Diceros bicornis minor: one gene and its partner. The main gene of each other region encodes a partner of the protein of the gene in region 2 in a complex. Links are inferred from orthologs where the notes say so. Each region holds a gene or a part of one and is shown on either strand. Other genes may lie near its edges.

Evidence for each region.
Region 1: the proteins of RAB11FIP1 (region 2) and RAB14 are in contact, whole or in part, in a crystal structure (PDB 4D0G), measured with the Homo sapiens proteins. The link is inferred for Diceros bicornis minor from reciprocal best matches to the Homo sapiens genes RAB11FIP1 and RAB14. Residues at the interface, in NP_001002814.2 of Homo sapiens: Glu1252, Ile1255, Asp1256, Asn1257, Leu1259, Val1260, Met1263, Pro1267, Asn1268, Leu1270, Arg1271, Ile1272; in NP_057406.2 of Homo sapiens: Leu28, His29, Ile44, Gly45, Val46, Glu47, Phe48, Gly49, Trp65, Arg72, Arg74, Ala75, Val76, Ser79, Tyr80.

The regions. Positions count from the first base shown.
Region 1 is NC_080767.1:28,363,180-28,379,289, reverse strand, and holds the start of RAB14 (ras-related protein Rab-14), read left to right. Parts: upstream 1-10,063; 5' UTR 10,064-10,295; intron 10,296-16,110.
Region 2 is NC_080768.1:34,614,749-34,630,225, reverse strand, and holds the start of RAB11FIP1 (rab11 family-interacting protein 1), read left to right. Parts: upstream 1-9,357; 5' UTR 9,358-9,396; coding exon 9,397-9,773; intron 9,774-15,477. UniProt on the Homo sapiens protein: A Rab11 effector protein involved in the endosomal recycling process. Also involved in controlling membrane trafficking along the phagocytic pathway and in phagocytosis. Interaction with RAB14 may function in the process of neurite formation.

The DNA of each region.
Region 1 (16,110 bases), on a different chromosome or scaffold from region 2:
TAATGCAACTGCAAGCCAAGGAACAGCAAGGAGTGACAGCCACCACCAGAAGCTAGAAGAGTCAAGGAAGGACTCGACCCATCCTCAGAGGGTGCAGGTCCCTGCCCACACCTTGATTTCAGATTTCTAACTTCCAAAACTGTAGGAGAATACATTTCTGTTGCTTTAAGCTACACAGTTTGTGGTACTTTGTTACAGCCGTCGTAGGAAACTAGTACAACAAGGAACCTATATGAGCTCCTAGCAACAATTGGCTGGAGCTGAGTAAGGGCCCCCTTGGAGGTGAGTCTCTAGCCAGGTGGCATTGTTCATTCCTCCCAAGGTGCACACTCTGTAGCAATAGCCCAGGGGAGAAAAGACGAGGGCTCAACTAATGCGGTAGCAATGAGGGGAGGTGAAAAGCTTTGTTCTTAGAAACAATCATTCTTTACTTCACGGAAGGAGATAAAGTAATGTTCATTATTACATATTGTATTTTGTATCATTACCATGAGCCAGGTTCTATGCTGAGGGCTTTTATATGTTGTGCCATTTAATCCTCCTCACAACACTATGACAACTTCCCATTCTATAGATGAGAACACTGAGGCTGGGAAAAGTTGCATGACCTAGATTATAAGAACTAACATCTATTCATTGCCTGCTGGGTGCCAGGCACTGAGCTGAGCACTTTATGTATGAGCTCATTGAATCCCCATAACACCTTTTGAGGTAGGTACTGTTTTATCCCCAATTATCTCCCTGCTACCCCACTGAGGTGAGGAAACGGAGACACAAGATGTCAAGTAACTTGCTCAAGTTAGTCACCGCTGAAGCTGGATGATGAACGTAAGAAGTCTGTGTTTTTGTCTGGATCCAAAGTCCTTGCTCTATAAAGGCACAAGCTTGTCGGTAAAGGGCTCTTTTTCTTTTCATTCATTCATTCATTAATGAATGCTCCTATGTTTTATGCATTTTTGAAGGATGTAGCGGAGAGAGCACAGGCTCAAGTGCTCAGAGACTTGGCTCTGGTCTAGCCTGAGCCTCGATGTCCCTATCTGTGAAATGTAGGGACTGTACCAGCCAGTCTTGAAGGCCCCTTCTTGCACCAAGAGTCAATTCTGTGATTCCCCAGCTTTGGGAAGATTCCCCAGCCTTGGGAAGAAGTTACCAATTATAAATAGAATAGCTCAGAATGCTAACTCATTTGCCAATGTTTCAGCAAATGACAGAGCCAGGATTTTTATCCAAGTCCACCTGACTCCAGAAGTTTCTCCACTTCCTCCTGGGTCTGGAAAAAGAAAGGAACTGAGAAAAGAGACTGAAGAAATACTGCTGCTGAACCAGATCTGCAGGAGCAACACAAATGCGACCAATGACCAAGAGCCAGGAGTTCTGGCTGAGCTGGCCCACCGTGGGCCTGTTACGCCCTCTTGTGGAGCATGTCTGAAATGCTTTGCTCTGCCAACTTTTTCATTTCCATGCCAGAACAGAAGCGGGGATTGGGGGAAGCAGGAAGTGGTTTTTCCAATAGTTTTTGAAAGCCAGTGACCCCAGCTATTGTTCTAAAACAGAGACTGCTTGAAGACATCGGTCACTTAGTGAAGCCCAGCTTCCCTGTGTTCATTTATTGATGAAATAAGTTATTTTTGTTTCTGTTTTTACATCTTGTACATACTTGTACAGGGTATAAAGCAGTGAACCCAACAGAAATGGCACCTTTCCTCCTTAGCTTGGGTGGGGGAGGTCAGACATTAAACCTGTAAACCCAGAATAAATACATAGGCAGGAAAGAATTCTTTCTCCTTCACACTCCCTTTTCTCCTTAGCTTTCTCCCCAGTATCTGGAGGGGAAAAGAATCGTTGGCAAGATCAAAGAATGAGAGAGACTTTTAAGCATACTTCATAATTCATTAAAATTACGTCTGTCTGCTTTCAAAAGTTTCATACGTTTCATGGATACTGTGCTCTGAGGATTCTAAAATAACTAAATCCTCATCTGCACTGAGGCACCACAAGGAAGGGGATGGCTCCTCCCACCAGCGAACCCAGGAGCAAAGCCCAGCTCAATCTTGAAGGCTGCAGGGAACTCCTCCAGGAGGCAGCTGACACTCTGGCAGAGAGAGAAGAGGTGTGGAAATGAGGGGATGGTGGCACGGTGGAGAGGAATTTTACATACATTTCTAACCTTCACAAGAATCCAATAAACTAGGGGCCACCATACCTATCTTACAGATGAGGAAACTGAGGCCCAGAGAGATTAAGAAGCTTGCCCAAGTCTCAGAGCTAAGAGGCTGTGGAATTGGAATCTAAGTCTTGGAAAAGCAATAGATTAGGAATCCAAAGTCTGGTTTCTAGTTCCAGTTCTGAAAACACTTGCTGAGTAACTGTTGGACAAGTCAATTAACACCTTGGATCTGTTTTCTCTTCTGCATAACGGGGGCTTAGTTAAAAAGGCCTCCAATGACCCTTCCTTGTCTGCCAACGTGAGGGCCAGAGCAGAAAAACAGGACGGGGGCCCTGAGGGGCTCCAGTGAACAGGAGGAGAGAGGAGCCCAAGTCCAAGGGCAGTCATTAGTCACTGAGGAGTGAATCACTGATGAGCAAATGCCCTGTTAACTGTGACGTATAATCCCCGGGCAGCCTCTCCTGAGGGGATCTTACAGCTTTCTCAGCAATAAAACACAGAATATCAGAGACCTCAGATTCCCTTATCCAGCTGATTCTAAAGTTTTTAAACAGAAGTCCCATCCATAACACCCTTCACAAAATTAATTGCTATGTGGTTTTTTGTGGGGAGGGCCAGGGAGCTTCAGATAGGTGGGACCTACCCTCTCTCAACCCTCTCCCAAAGTATGTGTGTTTGGGGTGCACAGCGGGTATAAGAAAGGGAAGGCCTAGCCCAGTTTGCCCTGGACCTCATTCCATCCAGTCTTTCAAACCAGCTAAGCCTGCAGGGGCCTGTTTCCTATTTTTCCCTTTTCTCTCTCTCTCCCCAGTTATTTTTATTATTCTGCAGAAACTCTTCTGACCTCTGGTGAATTCCATGATAGCAGATAAAGGTTTTTCTCCTTTCCCAATTTACATGGAGAAACTGCTTCAGGAGCTATTGATTGGCTCTCAGAAATAATAATCGCAGCTACTGTTTCTGAAGGCTTATTCACTACCAGGCACTGTGCTACGACCTTTTCATGCTTTACCCCATTTTCTCTTCACAACCACCCTAGGAATTAGATATTACTATTTCCTCATTTTAGAGATAAGGAAATGAGGAGCTAGAGACCTTATAGAACTTATCCAAAACCACACAGCTACTAAGAGGCAAGGCCAGGACACGAATCTAATTATGGTGTTGGGTAATTTCTGTCTTGTCAGTTTGCGACCTTCTTTTATTTGTAGGCTTTGTTATAACTGCTTGCTCTGCTATTTTAAGCTTCACTCTTTCCCCTCCATGGATGGTAGAGGGGAACCCCTTTTCCCTAGTCCTGGTTTCAGTGGGGAAGGGTTTTTTTTCTAAGCACATTCCTGGTACCTCTTCCTTGTTTATCCATTCCTGGGTAGATGAGGGACTGATCTGTTTGGTCAATTTGAGAAACCTAGTCATGCTCAACTCAGCATTGTCCTTCTTCTTACCGGGAGGGAGCTGCCAGGGGGCCTGCCTAGTCTTTGCAGGCCAGTTCTGGGGTTCACTATTAGTGGTGCCCTTCAGCCACCAGCTCTGAAAGCTTCTTCTCCAACCTGGCTTATATCGTAATAAAGGTGATCTTTTTGTTTTATTCCTCAACTTGTTCAGAACTCAGGCAAGGCAAATAGGATGCTATTTACTTAGAGTCCCCCAGAGAGCCCAAAATGGGCCTTCTGAGGGAATTACACTGGTGGGAAATCTTCATGCTCTACTGCTGGTTCCAATCCTCACCTTGGTGACTTCAGAGTGTAAGTCTAGCTTCTCTAGGCCTTTGAGCTCTAATGCCTGCCCCCTCTTAAGAAAAGAAGGGTGGTGTGGAAGAAATGGCTAGTTGTTTCTTGATATCTGTTCTTTTCTTCCTCTAGTAATAATAATCCTACCCAGAATAAAGACGAAATTTCCCAGTCTCCCTTGCAGCTAGGTGTGGTCACATCAATGGGATGTGAGCAGAGGTGATGAGCACAACTTATGATCATACATTAAAGGGAAGGCACTTGCTATCCATTTCTCTTTCTCCCTTCTGCTGGCTGGAATGGGACATGATGGTGGCAGCTGGAGTAGGAATTTTGAACCATGAGATGGAAGCTATGTTTTTTGGGTGGCAGTGTAACAACCAAGGAAGAGCTTAAAAATTGCCACCTTCAAGCTACCATATCAGCCCTTGACTACTTATCTAGATTTCTATGTGAAAGAGAAGTAAACTTGTAACTTGTGAAAGCCTTTGTCATTTTTGGGTTCCTTAGTTATAGCATCTGAACCCATGTATTGTAACTAACACAAGTAGGGACCCAGGAAGTTGCCTCCCAATTTGGGGGAGGGGTGTAGGGCTCTGGCAGAGGCTTAACTGTGCACCTGACTCACATGTATGAGGGAATCAGTGAATGAGGGAAGGATAGAAAGATTGGGCATTTGTTGAATGCTTACAATATTCCATGTGCCAGCCCTGATGGCCTAGTGGTTAAAGTTCAGTGCTCACTGCTTCGGTGGTCCGCGTTCACTTCCCAGTCAGAGAACCACACCACCTGTCTGTCAGCTGCCATACTGCAGTGGTGGCTCATATAGAAGAACTAGAATGACTTACAACTAGGATATACAACCACGTACTGGGGCTTTGGGGAGGAAAAAAAAAAAAAGAGGAAGATTGGCAACAAATGTTAGCTCAGGGCGAATCTTTCCCTGCAAAAGAAAAAAAGAAAAAAGAATATTCCAGATATTGTGCCTGATACTTTCAGTTATACTTTCTCAGTTGATCTAAACAATAATTCTATGGGGGTAGATCTCTTATTATGTAGCTGAGGCTCAGAGAAGTTAAGTAACTTGACTAAGGTCACAGAGCTAATAAAAAGTTTGCTAGAAATGGAGCTAAGTCAATGTGACTCTCAAAGCCATATTCTTTCCTCTATAGCATACCATTCACTCATTATCCCCTTCCACCAAATACAATATGATATAACACAACAAAATCTTGCCCGTGTTGGGAGACAACCCTCCATGGGTCTCTTGTGTTTCTGCACATCTTGTGAGCAGATGCACTGACTGTCGTTTGCCCCAGATTATCTTTTCACGGATGTCTGTAGAGCAAACAGCCTTCAAAGAGAGAGGTAGTGTTTCCCTTCACAGCAAAGGACAGAAATGCTTACTTCCCACTATAAAAGGTTTGGTTTCTCTCAGCTCAGAGTTCCCTTCCTGTAACACAGTGTGTAAAGACATCCAGGAACTGATATAAATATGCTGATGCTCACGCTGCACACAGTGCTGTGAATAATAAAGTCCTTTGTCTCTGACCCAGAAGTCTCATGTCTTCTGTCTGTGTCCATGAAATTGTATTAGGCTAAGTTGTTAGCTTGCAAACAGGGCGAAATCTCAGTTCTTGACAGTCCCTGCCATATTGGTGTCATAGTGAGAGTCACCATTGTTTTACTGCATGCGTCACATCACACAGGCTTTTAACTTAAATTATTCCAATTAAATGTACAAGGTCAAACAAAGCAATAAAGAAAATTTAAATACTACTCTGCCGTCCCTTTTTAAAAACAAGTGCAGGCCTTGGAGTAAGCATGTGCTGAAAGAGTTGAATCTGCTATTTTCTTAGTAGATCTCAGTTTTCACGTGGATCACATGGTGTGGTCATTTTGCCACAATCAGTGTGATTCTAAAGCTCAAAGATGCATATTTTTTCTTGTATCATGGCTTCTAAATCTAAACCACCCACTTCTTCTGGTGGTCAGCCAAAGAGATAGCTATCACATCCAACGCCAGAGGAAAACTAAGAGACTATAAATCAGACTCCAGTGTGGAGATTTCCTGAGAAATCTTCAAGTACACTTTTCACCTTAGGTGATTTTGTTGTTGTTGTTATGGGTCAACTTCAGAAGTCATGCCCTCGTATGGTGTAACCCCAGAGGATTATATTTTGGGGCATTGGTATAAGGTGTATGGATCTGTTGGAGGGGGGACTATTTTATGGACACAAAACTTCTTTTACAATTGAATATAGCATGTACTAATACTTACATTTTGCATCATTTTCTCCTTTCATATCATAAATTTGCATCTAATACTTTTTCATATCCAGAGACTAAAGAGTCTCATGCACTTGATTTTGACTTCTTGCTAAATTTTGAAGTATATCAAAAGCTATTTCTTTTTTGGTTAAACTAGTATTTTTTAACTATTTGCTTGTTTTTACTCAATTGAATTATATATCACTGGAGGTTAATCAGCGACACTTAAAAATATATTAGTTTTTTAAATTAGGTAGCACATGCACATGGTAATAAAATTCAGAGTATAAATTGTACTGGTTCTGCTGTATCTTCAATATTACCTCAGGAATTGGGACACCAATATTTTAATATCTAGTGCTGGATTGGTGGCAACTCCAAAAGCACTACACAAAAAGGGGTGAGTGTAGAGAGAGAGAAAGAAAAATAATCCACAGTCCAAGATAAGCCTACGAACCAAAATTCTAAAACATATGAGGAAAATCAACAAAATTAAGCTGACAAAACCAATAAAGATGAATTAATCTGATTTAAATAAACACAATAGAGAGATCTGAAAGTGACTCTAAATGTTTAGGCTCTGGAAAAAGACAAAGAACAGAATAATATCTATTTTTACAAAAGCAATTATAAAAATAGAAACAGGTAGAAATGAAACAAGAACAGATGCATAAGACAAAGAATCAGCACCTGGAGCGACCCCATGCACCTCCCCTGGGAATGGGTGACCTCTCATTCATTTGCTGCATCTTCCAGCTGACTGCCAGTTTGTGTCATTCATGCCACACCCCGATGATGAACATCTCTTTGCTGTACTCCAATCTACGACTGGGAAGTCAAGGTGTGTGTGGGTGTGGTGGGGGCAGGTGCAATCCCTCTCCGTCTAGAGCCCTCCACCATGCCACCCAAAGCCCCCTGCAATGTGGTCTCTCTCCATTTGTATTTTCCTTTGCTTAGGATGCAACGGGGCAAAGCAGATCAGTAAGTCTGCTCCCCAAACAGGTATTGGGGGCGTTACTAGTCTCCTCTTCCTGCAGGCACACCCAATCTTCACCAGTCATTCTCTTGGAGGCCTCCTCTCTTGCCTCTAGGAGGGGATACAGCCCCCCAAGGAGGGAAGGGAAGGGATGGGTCTCTTTCCAGAACACTGCATTTTCCTAAAGGCTGACTTACCCCCCATCTCTCCATTCTTTCTTTCCACTGATTAGTGGTGATGGTTTGCGGATGAGGAGAGGGGTGGGAATGAGGAATGGGTGGGGAGTAGGCTGCTGGAAGGGCTGGTAGAAGAACAATAATGGCTCTTCAAATACTCTGCTAGAAGAAAGCTGATTCCAACCACTGGTTCTTTTAGTGTAGAATGTGGGCTCCTTATGGACTTTTTTCTTCAGATTTGGGCCTCATCAGCAGTTTCAGGACAACAGGAAAAATCCCTCTCAATGTCCAGTTACATGAGCATATAAGTCTATTTCCCCCTCCATTTATAGTTGAACAAATGTTGGCACGCTGTTTAGTTTTCTGATTCCTGTTTTTTTCACTTGAGGTATTTCTTAGAGTTTGTTCCATATCAGGACATGTGCCTCATTCTTTTTTTTTTTTTTTTTTGTGAGGAGGACCAGCCCTGAGCTAACATCCAATGCCAATCCTCCTCTTTTTTGCTGAGGAAGACTGGCCCTGGGCTAACATCCATGCCCATCTTCCTCCACTTTATATGGGACGCCGCCACAGCATGGCCTGACAAGCGGTGCGTCGGTGCGCACCCGGGATCCGAACCGGCGAACCCTGGGCCGCCGCAGCGGAACGTGCGCACTTAACCGCTTGCGCCACCGGGCCGGCCCCAGCGCCTCATTCTTTTTAATTGCTGCATATATTCTACAATATGGATGTACTAAAATTTATTATAATAGCCCTCTAGTGACAGTTTGTCTCCAGTCTTTTGCTATTACAAACAGTGCTGCAACGAATATTTTGTGTATATATCTCTTTTTATATAAACAGCTTCTTAAGAATTTACCTAGAAACCCTGACACGTGTTTGGCATCCAAAAGACAGTCCTTCTTTATTATGCTGCAACTGGTCACACAGTCTCTCCTAATTTTGAAAATTCTGTGACTTATTACAACAAGTGACAATTTCTACTGCCTTTAATTGCATTGCTTAGCATGTGACAAGCACACTGCACTCACAATGTTTTCCTTCAATGCTGCAGCAAAGTGTAATGTCTTTTTTTGTGTGAGGAGGACTAGCCCTGAGCTAACATCCGATGCCAATCCTCCCCTTTTTTCTTGAGGAAGACTGGCCCTGGGCTAACATCCATGCCCATCCTCCTCTACTTTATGTGGGATGCCGCCACAGCATAGTTTAGCAAAGCGGTGTGTCTGTACGCGCCCAGGGTCCAAACCTGCGAACCATGGGCCACCGCAGCAGAGGGTGGGCACTTAACCGCTGCGCCACTGGGCCTGACCCCAAAACTGTAATGTCTTTGACATAGACTTAAGTAACAATTACAGATCTACATCTAAGCTGCTACAAGTGCAAATAAGGGAGGAAGTATAGAGCAGTGCTTTGGAATGGGAGTTCTGAAATCATACGTGCTTGAGTTCAAGTCCCAGTACCTCCAATTTTTACCTATATGACTTTAGACCTGTACAACATAGCTTTCTCATTCACAAAATGGGGTGAATATAGTACCCAATACAGAATGGGGATGTTGTAGGGATTAAACAAGAAAATATGCACAATTCTTGGGACAGTTCCTGGCACATAACAAGTGTTCAATAAGCATTAGCTATACATGAAGATTTCAATTCAGGTAACAACTAGATATACAGAAACTTTCTAGTCAGGCCTAAGTTCATAGCTGGATAAGTAATGGTAATTGGTTCACAGCTTTCTTCTTTATTTGGCACAAGCTAATTTATTGACTTTAGAGATGTTAAATTGTGACCACAAACCAACTTTATCTATCAGAATTAAAGAATATAGGAATAGAAGCATATACCTATTGGTTATATATATAATCTAAATATTATTTATATATATATATATAAAACCTACATATACATATCCACAAGGAGTTTTATACATATATACATCCACTAGCACAAGGCAAAAGCACCCAGAGCCCACGAAAGTTACAACACTGCCTTGTACCAAGATGTGCTAAACTTTCTGGTAAGGTGATTATAGCAGATCAAGTTGTAAGACCGGAGGTAGTGGACAAACTGTGAAAAAGGTGGTTACAATTTCTCTTCTCTCATCAAAGGCACCCCAAAGGGAGGTTAAAAGAGACAGAGGTGAAACACAGGGCATTAATTGCCACTTCCTAGCTACACGATCTTGGACAAGTGACTTGATCAATCTGAGCCTCAGTTTCGCCATCGATAAAATGGGGACACGTACACCCTGGGGCTATTGGACAGGGACCCACTGTGCCTTGCTCACCGCTATGCACGGAGCGCTCAATAAATACATATTGAATGAACGCAGTAAATGTGTGCTTAGCACAGTGGCCGGTGTATGCTAAGCGTCCAGTAAGTGGTAGTTGCTGGCATTAAAAATAGTGAAAAGTCCCCAGAGCGACAAACCTATTCCTGTAAAACCCAGACGCACCTCAGCACGTTCTACGCGATCTTGCGTAGTAACACCCCCCAGGGGGCGGAGACAAGCGACTGCGCTTGCGCATAAGCGCTTTCCCCGCCTCTTCAGGCGCGAGGGCCGGTGGGGCGGGCCTAGACGGCGGCGCGACGAGTCCAGAAGGGAGGGCGGAGGAAGGGGCGTGGCTAGCAGGCCGGGCCCCGGACACCCTCTTCCGGGCTCCGCCAGCTGCGCGCGCATCCTCCTCCCCCTTCTTTTGTGGTCCGGCCCATTGCGAGGGTGACAGGAAACCCTGTGCAGGGAGCGCCGCCATCTTGGACCTGCCCGGGAAAGATCCTGAGGGAGCTGCCGGAGCAGGCGCCGCCGCCACCGCTACTGCCTCCGGCGCGTCTGCACCTCCTCGGCCAGCCCGCTCCTTGCCGGGGCCTCGGCCGACCGCCCGTGTCCCTCTCCCGCTGCGCCCGCACTCCTCTTCCTCGTCCTGACGCCCCCCTCCCGCCCGGAAAGCTGCCCAGCCACCAGCACCCCCCCAGGTAACCCGGGCCTCCCGCAGTGTCCGTCCGGCCGAGGCCTCCGCGCCCGGCTCTCCCGGTGCCGCGGCGGGGGACGCCAGGGGGCAGGCCCTGTCAGGCGGCGGCGAGCGCGGGGTCGGCGGTGGGCGCCGCGGCTTCGGGCCTGACAGGACTCCGTGCTGCGGTGAGGGGTCCCCGCGCGGCGCCCGCCGCCCGCGCCTGCGGTGCTCCCGCCCCCGGAGGGCTTCGCGGCGTGCGGGAAGGGTGTGTGCGGCCTCGCCTGCCCGCCTCCCGGCCGGCCTGGGCGGATCGCGCCGCCCGCGGGCCCCGTCTCCTCGCCGCCGTTCCCGGCGGCCGCGGACCACCCCCGCGTATTTACCCCGCGGGCCGCGCCGCCCGCAGCCCCCAGACCCCGGCGCGGCCTCCCCCGTCCCCTAGGCCGCGTCCGGCCCCGAGTACAAAAGGCAGCACCCCGCAGCCCCGCCGGCATCTTGGGGCAGCTCCGGTGTCCTTGTCAATGTGCTAGACCGTCTCTGGGCTCGGGCCCGGGCAGGGTCGGGGGCTCGGTGCTCGCCGGGTGCTGGTTTGGGTGAGTCCCTCTAAGGCCCTGAGCCCGGACAGCCTCTAGAAATAACGAAGACGACAAAAAGTTTTGGCCTTTCTGGAATTTAAGAAAAGAAGGAACAGGCGTGTTTCGCTGGTTTGCACTTTACTGTGTGCCAGGTACGGCTTGAGTGTCTTTACACGGGTGTGTCTTGCTTCACGTAGCCCCTGGTGATAAGGAGAGGTATCTCCCTTTTACAAGTGAGGAAACTGAGGCTCGAAGGTGTGGTGTGGCTGGTTGACGATGGAACATACGGACTGGCCTCGCGCTGCACGGTGGCTGGTGTTTTCTCTCCTACATTCAAGTTAGGCTAGGGTTACAGACCCTTTGAAACGTAGCTACGGTGTAATTCCTTTTTTCCTGTGTTTGCGTTGGATGACATCTGATTCTCCTTTATAACCTGAAGTCTGTGGTGTCAGCCACTGCACTGCCAGCCCTCATCCTCACAACCCCAGAGGAGAGATGGCAAGGTTTCCACTTCATAGTTAAAGAAGAAACTGGGATTCCCAGAGAGCCGGTGCTTTCCTGGTGGTCCCACAGCAAGTGTCAGAGCCCAGATTTGAACTCGTGCAGAGGTTACCGCTCCTTTCATTATTAATTATCACACTGCCTTTTATTGAGGATAAACCTGACCTTGCAATAATCCAGCTCCCGCTTCCTGTTCCCCCAAGACTTTGCAGAATTTTTCTTCAGAGTTCTGCTTAGGCCCTTTCACTTGGTCGTGCCTTGAGGCATGTAGTGGTTAAGAGTTTTGGAGGGTTCCCAGTCCAGTACTGCCACTTCCTAGTTAAGTGACCTTAAGCAAGTTACTTAGCTCTCAGACTCAGTGTCCCTATTTATACAGGGGAAAGTTGTACGCACATTTTAGAGTTGTGAGGATTAAACGGGATTAAAAACCTTTAGCACATTGCTTGGCATATAGTAAGTGCCCCATTGCCTGTTAACAGTGCCAGGCATATAGTGGGTGTTTAATGTTTGTTGAGTGAATGAGAGGAGCATGGCTTTGGAGAGCTGTCGAGTTAGAGCTGGGCCTTAAGCTTAGCTTTCTCTTTAGTAATGTAAGACCCTGGATATACCACCTCTTTGAGCTGGTTTCCTTATCTGTAAAATGAGTTTTTAGGATTAAAGATTGCTTATAAAGTAGCTGGGATATATTAGGCACTCAATAAATGGCAGTTATTGTAAAGATGTAAAACCTATAGATTCTGATAACCTAAGAAATTCCTTGGAATTAAAGCTACATTTTTAAAAGTTTTTGCTTTTTATATTTCATGTTTATATTTGTTGGATACTTGAACTATACAACAGAATTTGGAGTGTTCTTACAACTGATTTTTATCAGTATTAAATATCTTTATGTAATCTTAGTAAGATATTGTATTATTAGATGAAACTTGGTTAAGGCAAATAAAATGTTAAAACTAGAACTATTGACGTGTTTCATTTTTTAAAAAAGCTTGAAACATTTTTATGTGGTTAAAAGTGGCAGGCATGGCTGGAGACAGCAATGTACAGATAGAGGTATCAAAGATACTATATTTTACTTTTTAAAAACTTCTTATTCTAGACAATTTTAAACATATACAAAATAGAGTTGTATATTGAGCCTTCATTTACCCATTAGCCAGTGTCAACAGTGATCAGTTTTGTTTCCTCTATATACACCTGTATTTCTCCACCAAATTATTTTGAAGCAAATCTCAGACATCATATCATATCATCAGTAAATTTTTCACTATTACTAATCCTTTTAACTTTAGTGGTAAGTGAGGGTTTTGTTTTGTTTTTTTCTCCTGAGTAGTTTCTTACTGTGAGTAGAGGTGCAGTATTGGAGTACTTTATTCTCTATTGATACCATCATAATTAGCTGGAAAATTTTGTCTTTCTCTTAACGCATTAAGGAATCTAATTTTTTTTCATATTCACATTAATTGATATAAAAGTGTGACATTAAATATCTTGTCAGAAGTGAGGTGTGTTTTTTTTTGAGTGAGTGTCAGAAATGGGTTAGTTATTTTCAGAGGTTGCATTGCTGTTGAGGAAAGGAAATTGATCAGTCATTCAGATTAGATTATTAGATTAGCTACTGAAGTTTTGTGTTTACTTGACTGACAAATCAAGTGGTATTTTACTTTAGTGGGCCTGTAAACAAATCAAAATGCTTCTGTTCTTGAGTTCCATGAAGGTGGGGACAATGTTGGGCTTTTTTTTTTCTTTAATGGCTATTATATTCTCGAAGTCTAGAACATGGCTTTGTGCTTAGTAGTAGATGCTCAACAAATATTTTTATATTGGAATCACAAAAGGAGTCTATCTTCCCTCTGGTGTTCTTAACAAAATGTCTTGCATTTGAAAAAAAAGAAAACTTACTAATTTTAACAATGAGGATCAGAATTTAAATCACCTGGAATATTTAGTGGGTTGCTTTTTTCCTGTGTTGTCTTGAATCAGTTATGTAAAAATTACACAGTAACATCATATGTTCTAAGGAATAGAATAAAATAGCTATATAACAGTTGTGAAAGGATTAGTCAGACTTAGTGCGTTAACACAGTAAGGAGCCAAACGCTAAAAAAAACTGGAAAAAATAGCCTCGATTATTAGGATGTTTTCTGAGGCCAATCATATGATTGACTTCATATGATCTTCCCCATATTATTGGTAAATGTGGAAGTAATATTATGAATGGGAGTTTTTTTGCCTTTATTCTTTAATTTATTTTGTATTAGAATTATATATAAAAGTGCTTTTAAAATATTTAACAGTCCTTTATATTCTCTACTTTGAATATTTTAGAATATTACCAATGAATATAGTACGTGCTCAGACTGTCAGTGTAGGGATATATAAAGAAAGTTAATAATTTCCCCCTTCCTTTTTTCTACTCTCAGCCCATGTATTCATTTTTCACAATTTGTTGTGTATCCTTCCATATTATATGCATATAGGATTGAGTGTATGTGTATTTAAAAATGGAACATGCTATTGCATAAAACTCTGCAACATGCTTTTTTTCATTTAACAAAATCATTGATATATTTCCAAGTTAATACGTATGTATCTAAATGGTTTTTAAGCAAGATGCTTATTATTTTATAGTATGGATGTACTTTATTCAGTCATTTCCCTGTTGATGGCAGTGTAGTTTCCAGTTTTTTGCTCTAAAGATGCTGTAGTAAATGCTCTTCCACCTGTAACCCAATGGACTGAAGCTTTTGTTTCTGTAGGCTACTTCTAAGTGGGTTTCTTGGCCAAGGGGAGATTTGGATTATTTTTAAGATTTTAAAATATACCAATTTCTTCCCAAAAATGTCGTGGCAATTCAGACTCCCACAAGCAGAATATATGGACGTGCCTCCTTTCACATCTGTATCTGCACATTTCAAAACTAGTCATTTATATGTCTGTATATTTTATTTTGAAAGGTGTGTGATTCGGTATACGGAGACCATGGGATTCTTTTTTGGCACAACAATGATTAGTGGTTAATATGCGTTTAGTAACCATTTAGATCTGTAAGTATTGGCCTGGAAATAGATCCTTGATTTTGTTAAGTGGAAAAAAAGCATGTTGCAGTCGAAATATAATGATGTACACCTGAAATTTATATAATGTAAAGTGCAACCTCAATAAAATAAAATAAAGCATGTTGCAGAGTTTTATGCAATAGCATACCCCATTTTAAATATATTTCTACCTTAACAGTGGTAAGTTTCATGTTCAAGAGATGAGGTTGAGAAATCGTTTGTTAAAGCACTATTAAGCATAGTTAATATTTAAAAGGGGCCACTCAACAATTATTAGTGTTTAATATGCATTTAGTAAACATCTCTCTTGACAGCCAGGAAGTTTAGAGCTAAATTTTACATGCACTGATAGTAAACTATTACCCTAAATTTTTAGTGTAATTATCCTCCATCTTTCTCTGATTTTTTCTTTCACTTTTATCATTCTACATATATATGCCTTTATAAGCTACCTTAGAGAAAATCATGTACTTTGGAATCAGGTCTGGGTTCAAGTTCCAGCTTTGCCATCTACTAACTTTTTAACACTGGCCAAATTAGTGAATTTCTCTAAACCTCAATTTCTTAATTTTTTTAATTTTTATTTATTTATTTTTTTCTCCCCAAAGCCCCAGTAGATAGTTGTATGTCATAGTTGCACAGCCTTCTACTTGCTGTATGTGGGACGCGGCCTCAGCATGGCCGGAGAAGTGGTGCGTCGGTGCGTGCCAGGGATCCGAACCTGGGCGGCCAGCAGCGGAGCACGCGCACTTAACCGCTAAGCCACGGGGCCGGCCCTAAACCTCAATTTCTTCAGTTTTGACATGGACATAATGATAGTGATTCTGCAGAGTTGTAAGAATTAAGTAAGAATTATATAAGACAATATAGGGAAAAGTAGTACAGATCATCACATGGTTTACTCTCAACAAGTGTTAGTTCCCTTCCGAAACTTTTTTGTAAGTAGATATAAATGAATTATTATTGATAGTATTATTATTTATCCATATCTACAAATCCTGATCACAATGTATCCTCTGAATGTAATTATTTAATACTGCTTGTTCAGAATATTAAAGTAGAATCAAGTGAGTGAACTGAGAAAGATTTGTGTCCCAAAGTGCCACTGTAGGCTTTCATAGTGTATCTCATAACTGGAGGAAGCAAGATGGTGTAGTAGTTAAGAGGAGATTCTTGGCAGTCAGAACAGTCCTAGGTTCACTATAGACTTGACCACTTAACCTGTGTGACCTGGGCATGTTACTGATCTGTTGAGTCTTTCCTCATCTGTAAAAGGAGGATAATAGTCACTATTTTATAAGGGTACTACTAAGAATTAAATTAGATTGCATGTGAGATGTTGAGCATATTGCCTGGCATATATTAAGTGCCCAATAAATGATAACTATGACAATTGTGTTTGTTATTAGTTTACAAGTTGTTCATCATGTATTTGGTGATGACTGTTGTCTGAATGTAATACATACTCTTTTCTGAAAGAAATCAGAGGCATTAAAGGAGATCTTATCTACATGTGAACTTTATTCAGATGCTTTTAGTAAAACATGGAAGAAAGTACATTTTAATCATGCCAGTAGCTGTGCACAGGTTTCAGAATATTATCAAGGTTTTTAATTAGTGGAGATTGTAGTGTTGAGTGGACTTATGTTTTCTTTGAACTAGACCAACATTTCTTGCTAACCGCCCGCCTTTTTTTGACTTTTCA
Region 2 (15,477 bases):
CTAAGTGAAAGAAGCCTGACACAAAAGGCCACATATTATATGATTCCATTTATATGAAATATCGAGAAGAGGCAAAGCCATAGGACAGAAAGCAGTTTAGTGGTTGCCAGGGGATGGAGGAAGAGGAGGAATTGGGACTGATTGCTCATAGGTATGGGGTTTGTTTTTCGGGTGATAGTAATGTTCTGGAATTAGATAGTGGTGATAGTTGCACAACATAGTGCATATACTAAAAACCACTGACTGGCACACTTTAAAATGGTGAATTTTATGTTATGTGAATTATATCTCAAAATAAATAAATAAAAAGAGGCTTGAGATTAAAAAAAAAAAGAAACTGAGGTGAACAAGGGCTTTAGGTTAAGAATTTAATAGAGGGCCGGCCCGGTGGCTTAGCGGTTAAGTGCGCGCGCTCCGCTCCTGGCGGCCCGGGTTCAGATCCTGGGCGCACACCGACTCACTGTTTGTCCGGCCATGCTGAGGCCGCATCCCACATACAGCAACTAGAAGGACGGGCAACTATCTACTGGGGCTTTGGGGGAGGAAAAAGGAGGAGGATTGGCAATAGATGTTAGCTCAGAGCCAGTCTTCCTCAGCAAAAAGAGGAGGATTAGCATGGATGTTAACTCAGGGCTGGTCTTCCTCACAAAAATAAAAAATAAAAAAATAAACCATTAAAAAAAAAAAGGAATTTAAGAGAGTCCATTTTCAAATGGTAATCTCTTTGTGTAATCTCGAGCGAGCAGCCATGAAAAGATCTAGGAGACCTCTTTCTTATTCCTGGCAGGCCTGAAGGACCTCCGTGGATGGTGTGTATGTTGTAGAGGAAGAGAGGAAGAGGGAGAATGAAGGAGAAAGATCAAACATTGCTCTGTGTTTTGTGACTGACTGGCTCCTCTAAGGATCAGAGATGTTTTACATATTATGAATGGCTGTTAAGAAATTAAAATGTAAAATGATACTATTTACAATAGCATCAAAAACATCAAATACCTAGGAATAAATCTAGCAAAAGATGTATAAGACCTATATAGAAAACTACCAACATTGAGAGAAATTAAATTAAAAAAAGGACATACCTTGTTCATTGTTTGAAAGATTTAATATTGTAAAGATGTCAAATTTCCCCAAATTGATCTATAAATTCAATTCTTTTAGAAATGAACAAGTTGATTCTAAAATGTATATGAAAATGCAAAAGGCCAAGAGTAGCCAAGAAATCTAGACAGAGGAAGGACAAAGCTGAAGGCTTTACATTACTAGATATCAAGATGTATCCTAAAGCTATGATAATTTAGACAGTGTGGCCTTGCTTCAAGAAGAGACTAATAGAGCAATGGAACAGAACAGAGTTCAGATCTTACTGAATCCACACATAATGGTGACACTGAAGAGCTGGGGGAGGAAAGCTGGGTTTTTAATAAATGGCACTGGGTCTATGTGATATACTTACGGAAAAAAAAAAAGAATCTTGACTCCTATCTTATACTATATGGTAGGGAAATCTTTGTGTTTCAATGGAAAACTGCACTGTCTGTAGCATACCCTCTGGGTTGTCTGATTTTGATGTTGTGGCAGCTATTTTACAACTCTGTAACTTGTAGATAGCTGATAGCAATGCAAAATTCATGACAATAAATTCACCCTCCCGCCTACTGTGGAAAAACCAGTTTTGCCTCAATTTGCATATTCATTTCAATTTTCCTGATCTGTAAATGTGTCTGTTCTTCAGATTCACCTTCGAACAAGTCAAAACACCTTGCTAATTTTCCTTCTTAATGAGTTAAACAACATTTTAACATGTGTTCATTTTTATATCTGTATGAGTCATGATTTTATCTTTTTTTTGAAAATTATCTTTTAACAATACACAAAAATTAATTCCAGGTGGATTGCTAATCTAAATGTGAAAGTAAAGCCATAGAGCTTCTAGATTATAAAGGGGAATATATTCATGACTTTGGGGCAGTAAAGATTTCTTGAACAGGACACAAAAACACTAACTATAAAAGAAAAGATTGATAACTCAGATTTCATTAAAAGAATTTCTTTTTACCCCAAAACACCACTAAGAGTGAAAACGCAAGCCACAGAGTAGAAGATATTTGCATTACATTTTTTTGACAAAGGTATAAAATATATATATATTTTATTATATATCCTTATATATAATAAAATATATTGTCTATATAAATATATTTAAATATTTATATTATATATAATATATTATATATTATACATAAATATTATACATATATATATATCCTACAAACCAATAAGACAGACAACTGAAAAAACTGGACAAAAGAAATGAGTAGGCACATCACAAAAGACCATATCCAAATGGCCAATAAGTCAGCACACAACCCCATTAATCATCAGGGAAACACAAATTAAACCCACTGTACATCCACCAGAAGGGCAAATATGGAAGACTGACAATACCAAGCTTGACAAAGATGTGGAGAAACTGGATCTCTCAAACATTGCTGGTGGGAGTATAAATTGGTACAACTACTTTGGAAAATCGTTTGGCAATATCTCTCATGCTAAACATATATCCACCCTATGATCAGCAATTCCATTCTTAGGTGTGTGTGTATGTTTATGTATAGGTACCAAAAGATATGCAAGAGTGTATAGCAAACTTATTCCTAATAGCCGTGTATTAGTTTCCTGTGACTGCCATAACAAATTTCCACAAACTTGGCAGATCAATAATTTATCCTTTCACTGTCAGTTCTGGAGCCCAGAAGTCTGAAATTACAGTATCAGCAGGGCTGCACTGCCTCCAGAGGCTCTAGGGGAGGTTCTGTTCCTTCCTCTTCCCTGCTTCTGGTGGCTGTGGGCATTCCTTGACTTGTGGATACATCACTCCAGTGTCTGCCTCCTTCTCATGGCCTTCTCTCCTTCTGTCTGTGTAAACTCCCTCTGCCTCATTCTTTTAAGCACACTTGTCATTGGAGCTAGGGCCTTCTTGGATAATCCAGGATGATCTCCTCATCTCAAGATCCTTAACTTAATTACATCTGCAAAGACTCTTTTTTTCTAAACAAAATAACATTCACAGGTGCCAGGGATTAGGATGGCACATATCTTTTGGAGGGCGATCATTCAGCCCACTACCAGCCCCAAACTAGAAACAACCTAAATGTCTATCAACTGTAGAATGAAAAATAAACTGTGGTATAATCATACCATGGAATACTATAAAACAATAAAGATGAACAAACTATTGCTCCATGAACACCAATGGTGAATCTCATAAACACAATACTGTGAAAGGAGCCAGACCCAAAATAAATATGTAATGTATGATTCATTTATATAACGTTCAAAAATAGCAAGACCCATCTATGGGGATAGAAGTTAGGAGAGTGGTTACCTTTGGAAAGGAGGGGGGCTTGGTGACTGGGAGGAACTCAGGGGAGATTTCCTGCAGAAGCTGATACTCTTCTATTTCTTGATCTGGGTGGTGAAAATTCACCAAGCTGAACACTTTTGTGCACTTTTCTGTGTATAATGTTTTCCTTTTCATTTTCTTTCCTTCGTTATAGCTGTGCTGTAATGCTATAATAAAGTTTGTTTAAAAAAATCTGTTCCTATGTTATACATTTTTCTTCCATTTTCTGATTAGATTTCAATACATATGTTTATTAAAAATTATGAATGATTACAACAATATTTGATTTATCATTATAGATTTAGGTGGTATCATCTCTCAGGAATGTTTATTTTGGGACACGTGTACGTATTTTTAGTCCAACAAGTTTTGAAGAAAACTTGAATTGGAGGACCCAATCGTGCCACGGAACAGGCTGTTTTGTAATTTGTTTCCCTATCTGTTTATAAGACTTTAGTGTCATTGACTTTCCTTGCTGAAGGTGTTCCCCAAACTTGGAGTGTGCGTGGTTGGGGTGGTGGGGGCAAATGTTATCCCAGCGTGAATGATTTAGACTTAGGAAAGGTGTTGTGCATCCTAGGACCGGTAAGGGATAGGATTTCCCAAAGATGGGCAGAGATTCATAAGAGGGACTATAGGCGCAGGTAAGAAGAAGGCATGTAAGGAGAGAACCTGGTTAGAACCTGGTGTTGCCCCCTGGAGGGGACCCCTAAGTAAAGACTTTTATTCTGATGCTCCCCCTTGGACTTTGTAAAATGTCAAGTGCTGGGCTCGGCTTTAAGCTTCCAGGCCTCCATTATAATTCCCTAGGGTATCAAACGTCAGTGCACCCCATCAGCCCTGTGCCACGTGTTGTGGCATCAAAATGGAAGAGGAGTAAAGAGTAGGTGGGGCTGCTCACACCCACCTCTTGGCCAGCTCTGCTGCGGTGGGGTCTGTGTCCAGGGGTCCCAGCAAATGAGAAAGCGGAGGCTCATGGCTTACATGGGAGAGGCCAGGAAGAGAACCAGACCCTTCCAATGGGACAATTCAAGGAGGAATAAACATTCAAAACTTCTGCTTTCCCCCTGTATGCCTTGAAACTGATTCTGGAAAGGTGGAGTATGGCTTGCATCTATGATGAACATGTATTTCTTTTGTAATCATAAAAAATAAAACCTTACATTTCAAAAAGATCGTTATACAGGGTAGTGCTAAAGTGGCAGTAGCAGGGATTGAATGGACTAATGCTGAAGGGTTAAAAGTCATTTATGTCTCCTCTACTTAACTTGGACTGCCTTCTATTGGAATTGGGAGAGCTAGAAATGGCAATGCAAACGTGAGGACATTTCCTGCCTTTGAGATGCTTACAGGGATTAAAACAAGGGCTGAATCAGAGTACAAGAAATAAGTTGGGAAACAAGAAGCAATTCTGAATGGGAGAGGTGGAAGGGAAGGCTTTGGGCAGAAAGTGGGAAGGTAAGGGGCACACATTCTCTACTGCCTTTTAGTCGTAGGACTCAGGGGCCTTCTCTGAAGGGACGTGACAAAAGGGAAAGATAATACCTTTGCGTTATCTATGATGCAAGCCATTGGGGCCATGGAAAGAGAGCCTGATGTCAGGGATTGCTCCCCGGGCTCCCTGACCCCACAAAGCAGGAAACCCTTACTCCCAGAGCCCACGCCTAGAAGGTAGTCTCAGTCAACCGAGTGTGCAGGAGGCTGAGGCAGCTGGACCTGGAGAAGCCAGAGGGCTGTTTACCAAGAGCCTCAGTGAATGAGTCATGTGTGTGGACATTTGTCACCACACCCCTAGAGTCTGAGGCAAAGGAGAAAGACAAGCGGCCATGACCAGCCCCTTTCTGCTCCTCCCTTGGGATAGCACATTAGCCCATCCAGAGTCCCCTGATGATTTTTGAGTTAGTGTTCCGGCAGTAGGGGGATACTGAGGAGCCCTGGGTGGGAGTGACTGGCAGTTAGCAGGGCAGTGAAAGTCTCTCCTTCCGCATGGCCTGCCTCCCGGCCCCCAGCACAGCTCTACACTATGTCTTATGGAGGCGCAGTCTTCCCACCTGCGCCGAAGAGCAAATCTGTGCTCGGCATCTAACTGCACAGCCGGGAGCTGCCTGCGGAGAGGCCCAGGGCCGGCGGCCGTGGCTGGGGGTCCGGCGCTCTCTGCTCTGCTGCTCTGGGAGGAGTTCAGGCAGCTAACCTGTCCAGTCTAACCTGCCGGGTGCCTTGCCCACGTGCTAGGGCCCACTGAAACTCTTTTCCTCTTTCAGGCCGAGCTAGAGGCGGGGCAGGGTGAGAGGAAAGAGAGTCATCAGCCACACCCTGGCTGTGGGGGGTGTTTACAAACACTCCTGGAATTCAGTGAACCAGAATTCAGTGAAACTGAGAAGGGTCTGCCACCCCAGGCCCACCCAGGACCCAGCCTGTGGGAGAGGAGGTAGAGTCCTCCCAGGGCAGGTGGGGGACAGGGCCAGCTGATCTCACTCTTGTCGTTAGGCCTGTGCACCCCACAGCCCAGACTGTGGGTCTATAACATGGGGAGAAGACAGGCTCTTACTCCTGGGAGGTCAGTGAGTGAGTCTAGAGGGACAGATGATGTGCTCTGGCAGGAGGAGGGGAGAAGACAAGCACCGAGGAGCCTGGAGGGCAGGAAGCCAGCCCTGAAGCTGGCCCTGTGCTGGAGTTCCTGGCATCTCTCTCCCCCCTGGGATGGATTTCTACCTCCTGCCTCTCGTGAGCCCCACCCCTCTGAGTTAACCCCTGCTAGTGGCCAGTGTCTAGAGAGAGGATCTTGATTTCTCCAGGTGGTGAGGCAGCCTTGCCCTCCCCGAACCTACCACCTTGGCTTTTTTTTTTTTTTTTTAATTTTATTTATTTATTTATTTTTTTGTGAGGAAGATCGGCCCTGACCTAACATCTGCCAATCTACCTCTTTTTGCTGAGGAAGACTGGCCCTGGGCTAACATCCATGCCCATCTTCCTCCACTTTATATGGGACGCTGCCACAGCATGGCCTGACAAGCGGTTCGTCGGTGCGCACCTGGGATCCGAACCGGTGAACCCCGGGCCGCTGCAGCGGAGTGCTCGCACTTAACCACTTGCGCCACCAGGCCAGCCCCCACCCACCACCTTGGCTTTAACCATAGAGCCTATTTGTGTCTGACAGAAACCCAAACACACGAGGTCACAAGGTGCTTATAATTTTTCCTCCCTCTCCCCTTTGTCCTCTAATTCTTTCCATGAGTGGAAGGGATGCTTCGTGTCACACTCAGCTTGTGAGGCTGTCCAGCCAGGTTTCATTCCTTGCTCTCTTTACTGCGGGGAGGTAGGGAGACCAGAGCTGAAAAATTTTACTCCCAGTTTTGCTCCCAAATCTTTGACTTTGTCCAGCTGGGATGCAGTGGAGCAGTGGACAGGTAGGACAAGCAAGAAGGAAGTATATGCTTTCCTGGAGGCAGTACCAACCTAGAATAGACACCAAGGATGGGTAAGGGGGGCTGGAATGGGGCGGGAGGCAGGCGTCCCCAGGTGAAAATGAAGGAAGGTAGCTGGCTCTGGCCTGCCGCGCTGTTGACTGCTGGGCTACTTCTGCTCATACCTGCCTTGCAGCCTGAAGCACGGTCTCATCACAGCACTGCTCAAAATCCTCTGCAGGCTGGCTCACCTGGTCTAACACTGTGGTGTTCATGATATGCATGATCTGGACCCACCTACCATGGCGGTCTTATCTCTACCACCCACCCCCAGCGCCCTCCTAAAATATCCCACAGTCCAGCCCCAGTGGGGGTGCTCATAACCCCTGTACACGTCAGGGGTACTCTCTGGCCCCCATGCCTTTGCTTCATCTGTTCTGCTCGCCGCTCCTGAAATACTCTTCCCCCATGGCCCCTTCTCTGCCCACCAAATCTGGTATATCCATTGGGGCCCAGCTCAATGCCACTTCCTTCACAAAAATCCACCTGCTTAGAGAAATTTCTCTGTCCTCAAAACACCCAAAGCATTTTATTAATACAGGACTTCCTCTATAGCATCTGTCATGGTGCGCCTTGGAACTGGGTCCCCTTTGGAGGACTTTGTCCCCTCCGTAGCACCTAGCAGATGCCGGGCACAGAGTAAAGTTCTCAATAAACCTGTACGGTAACGAATGGAGCCATGAGGTCAACAGATCATCAAGAAGGGGAAATGGCATCAAAACAAGAGTTCTGTTAGGCTCTCCTGCCACCTCATGTTTGGTGCCTCCTTTCCTTTTCCCTTCCGATTACCGTTAAATATTTACAACATACTAAATAGGCCTTTCTCACACTGTAGCCACCCTCAGTTGCAAACCTGAGGCATAATGTCTGTCATCTAATTTCCTACATGGTAAAAGGACACACGAAGTACTCATGGTTGGCTGGAATAACCTGCAAACTCTTCAATTCCATAGCACTTCCCGAGCACCTACTGTGTACCCAGGTGTCTCTAGGGGCTGTGGAGGAGACAAGTTAAATAAGTCGCTACCTGGCCCCTGCCCTGAAGGGGGCTATGAGAAGCCAGACCTTGGAGAAACCAGAGTGAAGCTGTGCAGTGGGTAGGACCTGGGTAGGCAGAGAGGTTGGCAGGGCAGCCATGGGACAGCCCAGTGAGTAAAGGCCTGGAGGTGGGAAGATTATCTGGGCTACAGTTTGTTCGGGAGATAGAGGAGAATGAGTCAGAGTGGGGCCAAAATAGGAATGCCTTGAAATCTCTGCTAAGTCTGAAGTTAATGCAAATGGTGGTGAGGCAACATTGTAGGATTTCGAGCAGGTTAGTGCAGCAATGTGCAGTGTGGACCGGAGGGAGGAGAGCCTAGAGATCAGGGGGCAACCAGCAGCAATCCAAGATTGGGGTTGAGGATCTGGAAGAAGCGAGGGATGCAGCAAAAACACTGGAGGCTCCAGACACCTGGGTTCTAGTCCTGGCTCTATTGTGGGAGCTTAAACGAGTCACTTCTCTGCTCTGGGCCTTTTCTTAACACTAAAACCCATAAGCTTGCAGAGTGACCTTTCCAGTGTGATGATCCACAGTCGACCCTATAGCGGGAATGAAGGGAATCCGCCAATCTAATGGATATTTGGAACAAGGAAGTGACTGACTGGGAGCCCAGAGATAAACAGCAGGGAGAGACTGAAGAGGGTCCCGGCCAGGGAGAAATGGGGAACTGAGGCAGGGGGCCCTCTGCTCCTGACATCTGGTTTGGCAATCCCATTTCAGTTCCTCCTTTCTTCTCCTTCCCTCATGTAGCCTCTTAGCCTCACCTTATTTGGTGAGGGCAGGGCAAAACAGGACACTCCCACACCACCTCCTGCCCACCCTCCACTTCACCTTCCCCTTTCGAGCCCTGAAACGATACTCCTCCTTCCCCACCACCTGGCACCATCCCAGAACCCACCTTCCTCCAGTAACGCACTCGGCGGGCCCAAGTAGAAAGCGCGGTGAATTTGGGATCACGTTCATCATCACCATCATACCCACCGTTTACTGAGGACTCACCACGTGCCAGGCTACATTATGTTTTCACAGCAATTCTATGAAGTGACTGTTATCTCGTTTCACAGATGAAGAAACTGGGACGAAAGCTGTGAAGTAATCGTGCTAGGTCACACACCTGCCAGCCGGCGGTGCCAGACTGGCGTGAGGTCTGACTGCCCAGCCAGGGCTCGGGCAGTTCCAGTGCGGCGGGGCGGCCTTTGGCCGTTGGGGACCCCATCCCTCTCCTAGCGCCTCTCAGACCAGAATTCCCCAAGCCCCCGCCCCTGCCCTCGCCGCGCCAGCCCCGCCCCCGGTGCCCGGTGCCCCGCACGGCCTGCGCTCGGAGGCGGGGCCGGCGCGGGCAGGGGGCGGGCGGCGCGCCGGGCCGGGGGAGGCGGGCCCGGCGGGGGCGTGGCCGGAAGCCTTAAAGCGGCCGGGGCGGCGGGGCGGGCTGTAGAGGCCGCGGACCGGCGATCCTCTCCTCACGTCGAACGGACTGCGGCACCGTCACCATGTCCCTGGCGGCCTCGGCGGGCCGGGGCCCGGGGGCCGTGTGGTCCCCAACGCACGTGCAGGTGACAGTGCTGCAGGCGCGGGGCCTGCGGGCCAAGGGCCCCGGGGGCACGAGCGACGCGTACGCGGTGATCCAGGTGGGCAAGGAGAAGTACGCCACCTCGGTGTCGGAGCGCAGCCTGGGCGCGCCGGTGTGGCGGGAGGAGGCCACCTTCGAGCTGCCGCCGCTGCTATCGACCGGGGCCGCGCCGGCGGCCGCCGCCACCCTGCAGCTCACCGTGCTGCACCGCGCGCTGCTTGGCCTCGACAAGTTCCTGGGCCGCGCCGAGGTGGACCTGCGGGAGCTGCACCGGGACCAGAGCCGCCGGAAGACGCAGTGAGTGCGGGCCGGGGGAGAGGACGGGGAGCGGAGGCGCGGGCCCCTCGGGCATGGGGCATGGCGGGGAGAACGTGTGGTCGGGGCGCCGAGATCCTGTTGGAGTGAGCGCGGCGGTCACCGCGCTGCTGGGTCCCCAGGGGGCGGACCGAGAGAGGCCTTTCGAGAGGGATCCCCTGGACTAGTAATAACGTAGCTTTAACTTCTTCGGCTGCCATACCCCAGCTGTCCCAGTATGTGGGCTCTTTGAAAGGAGGACGGGGTTGGGAGAGTGTATATCTGGGGCATTTTTGAATCTGCTGGGCGTTGCTCAGCGCGTGGAACCTAGTAAGCCCTTAATGAATTTTTGATGAGTTGAAAATATATGTGGGCTGGCAAACACCTCTTATTAGTGTGAGTAGTGTGTCTGATGCACGCCTTAACTTATGCGGAAAGCCTCCTGGGTATTTCACTGACCTGGACGCTGAGCTGAGAATGACCGGGCCAGGGCGCAGGGAGGATTAACTGGAGGAGTGAGACCCACTGAAGCTCCCTGGCCCGAGAGGCTCACCCAGGGACAGAGCGGGGGCGTTACAGTGCGGGGTGGGTGGAGGTGGGGGGCTGGGGAATGAGGAATGCAGGCTGCCCGGTGATGGCTCTCCCTCACCCCCACCTCACAACTGCAGAAGGGGTTGGTGAAGAGAATTTGCCCCTCCCTCCCCGCTCTCTTCCCCAAAGAATGGTAGAACAGTTTGGTTTTAACTTTCAAACTGAAGAATGTTAACCCTGTTTGCCCTGGGCCCCAGGTTAGTAAGGATTTCCCAGTGATGGCTGGAGCAAGGGTCTGAGACCCAACTGGGAAGCAGGCATTGTTTCTCATTGGAGTTTGTCAAGTTCTCTCGGGTCCTACTCCCAGTGGATGGCTGCTCACCTGTAGCTCCCCAGTCAAGAGTTCTGTGTTCGAGTTTCTCACTCCTGCAGGGAGAGCTGGGCAAAACCCAATTCACTCCACAGTGTTATGGATTTATTTCTTCTCTTTCACAGGTGCTTGGAATGGAACATTTGATTATGCTAATCTAGTATACCAGAAGCTCGCCTCGCTTAGCTTAGTTGGTTACTTTGCTGGATCTTAAATATGCAGGCAGTCACGTTACCGCCTAACTGCCCCAGTTTAAGGAGCACACTGATTTACTTTGTGTGTTTTAAACAGTATGTTAACTTTCCCTGGTGAAGGAAACGGGAAAAGCCAGAGCGTTTGAAGTTACCAGACTCCCTTTTCTGTCCAATGGCTCCAATTTCGGCATGCCTGCTTGCAAATGTAATACCTGATTCGCTTATCTGGCCGAAGATGAATAGGCATTTCTGAGCTCAAATCAGATAAAACTAGAGAGCCTCGAGGTGAGGATGGATGGGGTATCTCATGGCATCAATTTACAAGCCATAAGGTGAGCAGTGTCTTTGCTAAGCAGGGGCTGAAGCACTGCTAATTTTCCATTTGATGAAACGACATTTGGGGCCTTGAGTTGGCTTCCTTTCCAACCTCAAATGAGCACCGTTGACCGTCCTTTATCTTGCCCCATCCCAAGATGTGTGGATATTAACTTCTGACTCTGCCATCCATTTCTTATGTGAACACCTCATTCCCTTGAAAGACAGATCGCATCTCCCTGCTGGGGACGGGGATTTCAGATTCCTAGCTTTGATGCCCACTTTGGTCCTGACTCATTGTTGGGCTTCTGGCTGTTCCGTCTCTAAACACCCAAGTTTCCCTATTTATAAAGGGAGCTTGTTGCCAGACTTAATTGATCTTTGTAAGATGTTTCTGGATTTGTGAATTAATGGGACCCATGTATAGATTCAGAAGGTTCTGTTATTGCTTTGTGAGGAATGGAAACCTCCCTAAGCTCCCTATGTCAGGAAGAGTTCAGTCTCTGCATCTTCATTTTTCTCATCCTCCCCAATGTACTCCTAAACCCAGGTGGTTATTCCTGTCTCTGTTACATGAGCTGATTACCACTTAGTCACAGTATCAACTTGTAGGAAAATGGCACTTAATTGATGGTTTTTTAATAACCGCAAAGGAAGACTTCTTTGCTCCTCTATCGGTAGGTGAAATTGCAAGTTTCCTGGGACTTTCCGAGGTGCTGGGGAACCCAGTTAAACTGAGCCCTGGTTTCAGGGCTGATGCCCTGGTACATCACTTGGGTGCCCAAGATAGCTGACAGTTGGAAAGTGAGACATACTGAGAGGCAAAAGTTTAACAGAAAGAAACTGGTTGGGCTAGGAAAATCATTTGACCTAGTTATTAATGGATTGACTCCACCTTAGACATTAAAACCAGAAACAAAACAAAAGCTCAAATCTTGGTCTATAGGTTTGTGTGTGTGGGTATGGGGGTGTGTGTGTGTGCACGTGCATGTGTGTTAATCTCTAGGAAAGAAGAGTTGCTGCTATACACTATAGCTTTTGTCATGGTTCTAGAAGCTGAAACTCAAGGCATTAAGAGCCAGCTGAATTAATATTTCCATTTGTTCTCTTGATGTATTTGGAGTCAAGAGAATATGCTTTTTGTAATGACTCAGATTTTGCAGACGTCAAATTTAGTGTGATAATACACATCTTTAAGATACCAAAGAGGCTGACATATAGATAGGATACATTTAATAGGGAAGACTGCATGGCCCTTTTAGTTAAGAAAAAATTGAAATGAATTGATTTTGCACTTCTACTTAGCTATGAAAGACCTGGGGTCTCAGTTGGGCCTCAGTTAACTGGGAATCAGTTACATCTTGTGATCATAGAACAGACATGAATCTGAGAGCAGGATGAGGTCACCAACATGTAGGAGTCTCTGTACAGCTCTCTGGTCTGATGTAGTTTGGGATCCTAAATTGATTTAAAAAAAAAAGACACCTTTTTAGGTACTAAGAGCAATAAAATTTGGAGAAACAGTCTCTTAAGGATAGATTAAAATGAATATTCATTCAGGCTGGTGACTGGAAGGCCATTGTGTAACTAAATATCATGAAACTTAATACTGGAATAGTCTTCCAGATATGAAGAGAGAACATGAGTGATGGAGAGGCATTTTCTTATCTCTCTTGAAGAGTCAAGAGGGAATTCAGTTGCACCTGAAAGGATTTGGATATTAATAAAGGTTAGATATTTGGAAGAACTGTAAGTGTAGTAAGATTCTGTCATAAATTGCCAAGGGAAATTCGGGTTATTAAAAAGAAATAAGGGCTAGATAGTTGTTTTTCTAGGAGAGCTAGATGCAGAGAAATGACTTAGATGATGGTTGAGATCTATAATTCACACATTATGAGCCGTCAGCATTTGTGCTTATACCTGTACGTTTCCTAACCACATTTAGATTATTTGTAACAGATTGGAAAATTCGAACAATGTTGTTACTGCTTCAGTTTTTCCTTTCTTGGGATTCCCCTTAGAGATAACATTGAGCCTTCCTGGAACCCTCCCACCTCCCACCTTTCACAGTCCCTTCCCGCTCCAGGGTAGGAAACTGAGCTCAGTGCCCAGGACTGAGTTTCTCTGTCGGCTCTGGGATAAATAACCCTAACCTGCTTACAACAATGGAATGAAATGACTAAGGGGGGAATGTACCTTAAAGGCATTGTTCCGATGGTGTGAAAGATGTTCCTTCATGTTTTTTTCATGGTATGCTTTGATTGTGATGTCATTTGTAAGACATTCAGTTAGCATGGGGAGAGTTCTACCTGCTTTCCCCTGTCTTGAAAGTTCATCTATACTTTTAGTAAATATTTTTTAATGCCTACTGTGTGCCAGGTACTGGGTGTACAGTGTAAACAAGGGTGACCAAAACAGCCAGGGTCCCTGCTTTCAGGACGCTCAGAGTCTGTGGGGGAGAGAGACATTAAACAAACGAACACATAAATAAATAATCATATATTGTGATAAGTAGTGTGGAGGAAGAGAACAGGGTGTCATAAGAGAAAAAAGCAGGAAGGACATGATTTAAAGAAGGAGATTGCGCATCGCCTCTCTGAGGCAGAGACCTGAAGAATAAAGAGGAGTTTTTCTGGTGAAGAGTAGAGGAAGGGGGCCTGATGGAGGGGGAGCAGCCTGTGCAAGGGCCCTGAGACAGGAACACCTGGGAAGCTGGAGAGATTGTGTAGATTGAGGCTGAAGAGGAAGTCAGAGCTTTATTTAAGAGCAATGGGAAACCACTAAGGGTTAATAGCAGAGGGGTGGTGTGATCCAGTTTGTCAAAAATCACTGTGGCCATTGGGTTGAGAATGGATTTGAAGCAGGCCTGGCCTGGAATCAGACAGACAAAATGGGAGGCTGTTGGAGTAATCTAGGTGACTAATGGTGGTGGCTGGGCTAGGGTGACTGCACGGAGATGGACAGAGGTGGGTGGATTTCACAAATATTTTGAAGTTTCAATTGGCCTGGCTGGTGATGGATTGGATGTGGGTGGGGACACATGAGAGGAAGTGTTAAGAATGAGCAAATAAAATAAGGAGAGCTGGCTGTTGAAAATGAATCAGGAAGTGGTGGCTGCTTTCTTTCCCCAACAGTCACTGTGATACCAGAGTGAGGTCACCATTACAAAGAACTCTGGGCGGTGACACCCCTGAGCTGAGTCTTCTGTTGGAGTGATTTAGTAGGGAACACCATTGAAACCAGGGTGCGTATATGTACATCTTCAAGTATTTACCGTTTTCATACAGGCCAAGTCTTTGTTTTGGAAGAGCATAGCTGATGAAATCTCACTGGTGTGCTCTAACACGGCTGATGAAGTCACTGCTTCAAGGAATATAGGACTAAGAAAAGGAAAAATAATATATAATGTTGGGAAAAATAAACCCATAAATGAAAAATAAAACTCTTGAGGCAAGTAAGTCAACCACTTAAGTGTTTTTCACATTAGAGAAGATAAGTCTATGAAAGAGTCTTGTACCTTTTTCGTTTTGCTTAAACTTCCTTTTGGTTACAAAGACTTCATTGTATTTCTATAACTACCATCAGAGGAGGGTCTTTATATATAGTATCTGATATGTCATTTTAATGGTAATTATTAACTTAAAAATGTAAAAGCTTAAAATTGTTAAAAGCTTAAAATTGTTAATTTTAAGCACATTAAAAGCAATACATGTGCTTATTAAAATGTCGTCAGCTCCAACATATATTTGCTGACATCACTCTTCTCCCCTTTAACAATAATCTTAGATATCTATTAAAATACTACGATTTTAGTTGCTATACGTCCTAGAAAACTGTGCTTCACACCCTCTACTTTTGGAGGGACGCTGGCTCTGGCTTAGCTCCAGAAGGATTGAGAAGCCCTAGCCCAGATAGAGAGAGTGAGAAGAGGTCATTTTAGGCCTTATCTTCATCTCAGAGCCGTTCCCTGGGTGACCTTTGGTTCTGGGTCTGGCCCAGATCTCTAAACCGTGGGGCCTTTGAATTCCAGCAAAATCAACACCTAGACCCTTGTATTGGACTTTGAAGAAGCCCTTTGAAGAAAATCAGTCTGCTGCCAAGATCACTTGTCTTGGAAAAAACTTGGCAAGTGGGTTCTGCTCCCTGAAGGGTGTCTTGGGTCAGAGCTCATGCCCCAGCTGGCTCAGGAGACCAAGCCTGAGTTTCACCTGCTTTCTCCTTGGCCAGGGACCACATCAGTCTGGTCCTGGCTGTGTGACCCAGCGCAGGGGCTCATAAACGTCTCTGAGTGAGTGAG